Callithrix jacchus: one gene and its partner. The protein of the gene in region 2 purifies or fractionates together with the protein of the main gene of each other region. This does not show direct contact. Links are inferred from orthologs where the notes say so. Each region holds a gene or a part of one and is shown on either strand. Other genes may lie near its edges.

What was found. Proteins that work in one complex are often made in the same cells at the same time.
Region 1: the proteins of EIF3L (region 2) and ZNF746 purify together in Homo sapiens (affinity purification with mass spectrometry; 3 studies listed by BioGRID and IntAct, counting the BioPlex papers as one, with this or other methods). This does not show direct contact. The link is inferred for Callithrix jacchus from reciprocal best matches to the Homo sapiens genes EIF3L and ZNF746.

Annotation. Positions count from the first base shown.
Region 1 is NC_133512.1:98,258,656-98,262,300, reverse strand, and holds part of ZNF746 (zinc finger protein 746), read right to left. Parts: intron 3,398-3,645; coding exon 3,098-3,397; intron 3,018-3,097; coding exon 2,891-3,017; intron 1,882-2,890; coding exon 1,768-1,881; intron 1-1,767.
Region 2 is NC_133502.1:208,875,613-208,879,257, forward strand, and holds part of EIF3L (eukaryotic translation initiation factor 3 subunit L), read left to right. Parts: intron 1-1,322; coding exon 1,323-1,494; intron 1,495-3,645. UniProt on the Homo sapiens protein: Component of the eukaryotic translation initiation factor 3 (eIF-3) complex, which is required for several steps in the initiation of protein synthesis.

The DNA.
Region 1 (3,645 bases), on a different chromosome or scaffold from region 2:
GTGAGGTGAGGTCTCACAAGGCGATGGGCCAGGCCAAACATGGCAAGGGATGCGCTGTGATTCCTGGTTTCTTGGACCAAGAGGACGGGGATAAAGTCCACACAGGATCCCTGCTGACAGGCTCAAGGTGGACAGTAGAGTTTGTCTCTATTCATTTTGTCTACTGGTGGGTAGAGGCCACGGATGCTGCTAAACATCATACGATGCAGACAGAGTGTGGCGGGATCTTACCAGCAACCAACATAATTTGGGGGACTTCTTTACTCTCATTTAATGATGGTGTGGAAGCGAGGGAAGCCTCCACACACACTGTAAACACAATGAAACCCACCCACTGAGAACCTCCCACCCAGGCTAGGAGGCTGGACGCGCCTGGGTTGTAACCCTCTTTTCCAGCCTGAGGCTATCTGTTCTCAGTCATCTTTCTGTCCTCTAGCGCTCAGCACTGTCCTTGACACCTAGAAGATGCTCAAAATGCATCTGTGGAACTAAACTGTGAATGTCCTGATGATGACTGGTAAAGTGGCCCGCTCGGAACATGCTTTTGCCCTTAGGAAAGTACCAATCTAATTGAGATGAGATGACAAACATGGGAGCCGCGTTTAATTTCACACAGGTGGAGCGCAGGAGGCCCCTGCATAACACCACCTTTCTCAGTCTCAGACGAAAGGGAAAACCAAGGCAGGTGGGACGGTCAAGGGCGAGTCTTCTGGAGGAATCAGGGGTCCAGCCTGCCAGAGATGTGGTCTCCCTGGTCAAATGACCCAGCAGGTCTTCACTTCACTTTAGGAATTTTGTTTTCTCCTGTGCCCACCTGTCTTTCTCTTAACTTTCAAAGGTGCTGAGCAGCTCCAGGGAAATCTGAGACACTGGTATCTGGTAACCAGATTCACCTTAAATAAATGTGTGCTTCTAAATCAACCGAACCATATGGCTGACCAATGGGTGTATGTTCTACAACTGCTACTGCTCTAAATTCAGGTTGGTTTTCAGAGGCAAGGCTGACTCTTGGTAAAGCTTTGAATTAATATTATCTTCAATATACAGCTGACTCTTGAACAACATGGATTTGAACTATGGAGGCCCACTTACAAGTGGATTTTCTTCTGCCTCTGCCACCCCTGAGACAGCAAGAACAACCCCTCCTCTCCCTCCTCAGCCTGCTCAGTCTGAAGATGACACTGAGGATGATGACGTTATGAGGACCCCCTTCCACTTAATGAGTAGCAAACATATTTCCTTTTCCTTGTTTTCCTAACATTTTTTCTGTAGCTTATTTAAAGAATACAATACATAGTAACCAGGACATATAAATTATGTATTATTGACTGTACATAGTATCAGTAAGGCTTCTGGTCAACAGGAGACTATTAGCAGTTAACTTTCTGGAGAGTCAAGTTAGACATAGACCTTGGGCTGCGTGGGATTGGGGTCTGTCACCCCTGGTCCCCGTGTTGTTCAAGAGTCGACTATTCTCCGGCCTTCCCTCTCAGTGTCCTCCTCTCCCTCCTGTCATCTGTGCCCTGGCTTTGACTCTTCCTAAAAGAGTAGGTTTGCCACCTGTTTCCCTGATAGAAAGTGTTCATTCCTGGAGCATTAGCTGAGTAAGTCAGAGGTTAAAACTCCACTATAAAAAAACTCAGACCAAACACAAGTAAGTTTGATGTGTCTCCTCGGCTCTCTCTGGGAAGATCACACCGTTCCTGGCCTTTCTGTCTGTCTCCCGCAGATCACCTGATGCCTCCCTGGCCTTCTCCCAGCCCTTACCTGGACTGGGGTCCACAGGAACATCTGGAATCTTGGGGCCGGGGCGGCGCCAGCTGCACGGCTCCTTCCCTTGTTCAATCTGGGAGAGGACCTCGGGCTTGGAGATGGCATAGTCTGAGGAAAGACAGAAGGTTAGTTTTCACCTCGTTCCAGTCAGAGCTGGGGACAGTCAGCCCGGAAAACCAACAGTGGTCTAGAAAGGAAATCTCTTGATCGTCATAGAGCAGGAGCTCTCAGTCACAGGCAATTTTCCTCCCGGGGACGTGCGGCAAAGTCTGGACAGAATTCTGATCGCTGTGCCCAGGGCTTGGGGAGAGGTGACTGGCATCTGGGGGGTAGAGGCCAGGGCTGCTGCTGAACATCCTACAACGCAGAGGACGGCCCCGACCCAGAATCACCCGGTCCCAAATGTCAGCAGTGCCAGAGTGAAGAAACTGCCACAGAGCGTGCATGTGAAACAGCGGCACACTTGTGCTGATGAAATGTCACCTCACGACTGTACCTGCTCCTGTCCTCTCTATCAGGTCTCACTGCCCTCAGCTCTGGGGTCACACAGAAACCATCAGGAAGAGGAAATCAGCCCAGGAAGAAACAGAGTCCAGGCCCTTCCTGGGCAGGATCAAAGGAGGAGAGCAGCAGTAGCCCCAGGGGCTGAGGGAAGCAGAGTTTTGAGGCATGAAGAAAATGTCTGCTGCAAGCAGCACCGTCTGCCCACGTTATCCACTGACCTTGAGGCATGTCACCGTAAGGGCCACAAATCTCTGTGGGAGAAGGCTGAAAGAAAGAGTCTTTCTCAAATGTGAGTGGATTACATACTGGATCTGAGAGCAGGAGGGGCCTTCCTTGCTCCAAGTCAGCACCAACAGAAAGGTCCACACCCTGGGCCTGCAGAGAAGAGACACCGCCACCTTTCCTATCCTGGCATTCTGGGACCCTCTGCACAGGGAGAAGGGAGCTTTTGATTCCATCACCCAGGGCTCATCTTTCACAGGAGGTAACAACTTGCAAGGTAAACAATGTTTCTGGTGATTCACATATCACTGCCAGGAAACAACTATGTGGAGAGAGAAGTTTGAGGACTTGCAAAATCCCATTTAACAGAGAAATGAGTGTCAGGCCTTACCCAGGGAGACCAGCGTCTCGTAGTTGCCCCTCATCACATGCTTGTAGAGCTCCTTCTGCCAGTCCTCCAGCTTGCCCCACTCCTGCTCGGAGAAATACACGGCCACATCATCAAAGGTCACGGGCACCTGAAACCACAAGTGTCACATTCACTCACTCACAGGCTTTGCCCCTTGGGCTCCCACACCCCAGGGCATCCCAGGGCTACCTTGGGGGCCTCCCCCTTGCTGCCCGGGGGCAGCCGCAGGATCCAGAAGTTCCTGTTGCGAAGCAGGTTCTCCACGTTCTCCAGCCGCCTCTGCAGCAGCCCATACTCCTGCAGGAGGGTTCCCAGCACGGCCCACTTGCCCTCCAGCTGGTTCCCGAACTCCACGGCTGTTTTCTCGCAGTCGGCCAGCTTCTTCTCAGCCATCCCAGTTCGACCTTCTAGGGAAAGCAGGCGAGCAGCCTGTGATTCAATCTTCCTCTCCATGGCCTGAATCGTGGCTGCCATTGTCCACGGAGAAATCTTTCAGAAACAAGAGAGAAACAGCATCATTCATTCCACCCATTGTCTTCATTGAGCCCCTCTCCCCCTAAGCACAGGGGAGCGGGGCTGGGAGCCCGTATGTGTGGACAAGTGGGGCCATCCCGTACCACATGCCAGATCTCAAGTTGGCAATCAATGCTTGGGTATCTTAGGTCTATGTGTGGGTGGGTGCCCTTGCTCCAGGCCTCTGCAGCACAGTGTGGACCTTTATCATGGCACTCAGCACC
Region 2 (3,645 bases):
AAATGGTTACATGCTCTATTGTGACATTTGCTGTGACTTTGTTAACACTTAAATCATATTTTCATAGACCTCCGTTGTTCTTTTGCTGCAGTTTGCATGATAGGAGTGTACAGTGCCTCTGATGGGGAACATTGGATTTGTCAGTTTCCACAGTTACAGGCAGTGAATCAATGAATATCCATATATGTGTTATCCATAGGCATATTTTTAGGGATCACTACCTAGAAGTAGAATTTTTGATTGAAGGATACTTGCTTTTTATTTTATTTTTATTCTTTAATTTTTTTGAGATGGAGTCTTGCTCTGTTGCCAGGCCGGAGCGCAGTAATGCGACCTTGGGTCACTGCAGCCTCCAACTCCTGGGTTCAAGTGATTTTCCTGCCTCACCCTCCTGAGTAGCTGGGACTACAGGCAAGCGCCACCAGGCCCAGCTAGTTTTTATATTTTTAGTAGAGATGGGGTTTCACCATGTTGGCCAGGATGGTCTCAATCTCTTGACCTCATGATCCACCCACCTCCACCTTCCAAAGTACTGAGATTACAGGCATGAGCCACCACCCCTGGCTTTTTCTTTTTTTGACATGGAGTTTTGCTCTTCTTGTCCAGTCTGGAGTGCAGTGGCATGATCTTGGCTCACTGCAACCTCCACCTCTTGGGTTCAAGCAACCCTCCTGCCTCACCCTCCTGAGTAGCTGGGACTACAGGCAAGCGCCACCAGGCCCAGCTAGTTTTTATATTTTTAGTAGAGATGGGGTTTCACCATGTTGGCCAGGATGGTCTCAATCTCTTGACCTCATGATCCACCCACCTCCACCTTCCAAAGTACTGAGATTACAGGCATGAGCCACCACCCCTGGCTTTTTCTTTTTTTGACATGGAGTTTTGCTCTTCTTGTCCAGTCTGGAGTGCAGTGGCATGATCTTGGCTCACTGCAACCTCCACCTCTTGGGTTCAAGCAACCCTCCTGCCTCAGCGTCCTGAGTAGCTGGGATTACAGGCATGAGCCACCATGCCCAGCTAATTTTTTGTATTTTTAGTAAAGATAGGGTTTCTCCATGTTGGTCATGCTGGTCTCGATCTCCCGACCTGAGGTGATCCACCCACCTCAGCCTCCCAAAGTGCTGGGATTACAGGCATGAGCCGCCATGCCCAGCTTGTTTTTCTATCATAAAATTAGCAACTTCTGTTTAGAATGAGAAGTGGTTGTCTCACCGTCACCTCATCCTGTCCAGAGCCAGAGCATTGTGTCCTTTGCAGCACTGTGCACGGGGACGATCACTGTGGGCTCATACCACTACCGTGTGTTTCCTTCCTACTCACAGTTCCAGTCCTTCAGTCAGTACCGCTGCAAGACTGCCAAGAAGTCAGAGGAGGAGATTGACTTCCTTCGTTCCAATCCCAAAATCTGGAATGTTCACAGTGTCCTGAATGTCCTTCATTCCCTAGTAGACAAATCCAACATCAACCGACAGTTGGAGGTATACACAAGCGGAGGTGAGCACAGCAGGCTGACAGCCGCTACCTATGAATTTCCAGCTGCTTGCCATCTGTTCCAAAGGAATAGATACTGCAGGTAGAGCAGGCGAGTCACCACGTCTTAGGCAACGGGCTGTTGACTCTTCCTAGGTGCTTGAGTACGAACAGCAGCAGAGTGTTCATGCTGGGGGCTGTGGGGCTTGGGAGTCTGTTGGCCAAAAAACTGAACCAGCACATTGAGATTTGCATTTGTAAACATTTCTACTGTGTCTGCAGCGCTTTTGTTTAGATAAGCACTTCTCACACGTGTTAGTGTCAGAGCCCATTTTAGCCTGTTAAAATATTGAGAACCCCAAAATGTATATTAAAAAAAAAATGGGGGACTGGGCCCGATGGCTCATGCCTGTAATCCCAACACTTTGGGAGTCTGAGGCGGGAGGATCATAAGGTCAGGAGTTTGAGACCATCCTGGCCAACGTGGTAAAACCCCATCTCTACTAAAAATATAAAAATTAGGCATGGCGGCATGTGCTTGTAATCCCAGCTACTCAGGAGGCTGAGGCAGGAGAATCACTTGAAACCAGGGAGGCGGAGGTTGCAGTTAGCCGAGATCATGCCACTGCACTCCAGCCTGGCAACAGAACAAGACTCCATCTCAAAAAAAAAATTTTTTTTTTCGGCCAGTCATGCTGGCTCACGCCTAGCCTGAGGACTTTGGGAGTCTGAGGAAGGCGGATCACAAGGTCAGGAGTTCAAGACCAGCCTGGCCAACGTGGCAAAACCCTGTCTCTACTTAAAAAATATAAAAATTAGCCAGGTGTGGTGACTCGTGCCTGTAATTCCAGCTGCTTGGGAGATTGAGGAAGAATTGCTGGAACCTGGGAGGTGGAGGTTGCAGTGAGCCAAGATTGCACCATTGCACTCCAACCCAGGACAACACCAAGACTGTCTCAAAAAAAATTTTTTTTTCAGTAAAGAGCGACATTTTTGTAGATCTCTCTGTGGCTGGCTTCATGCAAAATACCTGGCCTCTCATGTCTGCTTCTGCATTCAATCTGTTGCAGTGTGCACTTTGGTTTGAAGCACAGAAAGCTCACGCTTGTAATCCCAACACTTTGGAGGCTGAGGCAGGCGGAGCACATGAGGTCAGGAGTTCAAGAACAGCCTGGCCAACATGGTGAAACCCCATCTTTACTAAAAATATAAAAAATTAGCTGGGTGTGGTGGCGGGTGCCTATAATCCCAGCTACTCGGGAGGCTGAGGCAGGAGAATAGCTTGAACCCAGGAGGCGGAGGTTTCAGTGAGCCAGTCGCACTACTACACTCCAGCCTGGGTGACAGAGTGAGACTCTGTCTGAAAAAAAAAAAAAGATAGGCATATGCAGGTATTAAAAAATGCAAAATCCAAAAGGCTTCTGGTCACAAGCATTTATAGAATACTCACCCTGTACTACTTTGGAATAACCAGTGGCAGTTTCATACACATTAGGTGCAGTGAGGAATCTGAGGCTGTGTTAGTGAACTTTTCCTTCGTTACATATACATATATGTATATATATTTGAGATGGAGTCTCACTCTGTCATCAAGCTGGAGTGCAGTGGCATGATCTCCACTCTCTGCCATCTCCACGTCCTGGGTTTAAGTGATTCTCCTGCCTCAGCCTCCCGAGTAACTGGGAATACAGGCACACGCCGCCACTCCCAGCTCGTTTTTGTATTTTTTCAGCAGAGATGGGGTTTCACGATGTTGGTTCAGTATGGTCTCCATCTCTTGACCTCGTGATCTGCCCCCTCTGCTTCCCAAAGTTCCTGGGATTACAGGCGCGAGCCACCCTGCCTGGCTTTCCTTTGTTATATTAACGTTGTTGATTACTCCTATAATTTGAATGAGTTTCTTAAATCCGTGTCGTCCGCGTGTGGTTTTTTTTTTCCCTCTGAGACAGAGTCTGCTCTTTCAGCCAGGCAGAGTGCAGTGGCATGATCTCAGCTCATTGCAACCTCCATCTCCTGGGCTCAAGTGATTCTTGACAATTTGGTGTCGCTGCCTCATCCTCCCGGGTAGCTGGGATTACAGGCATGCATCACCATGCCCGGCTGATTTTTATATTTTTAGTAGAGACAAGGTTTCACACACTGGTCAGGCTAGTCTCGAATTCCTGTGCTCAAGTG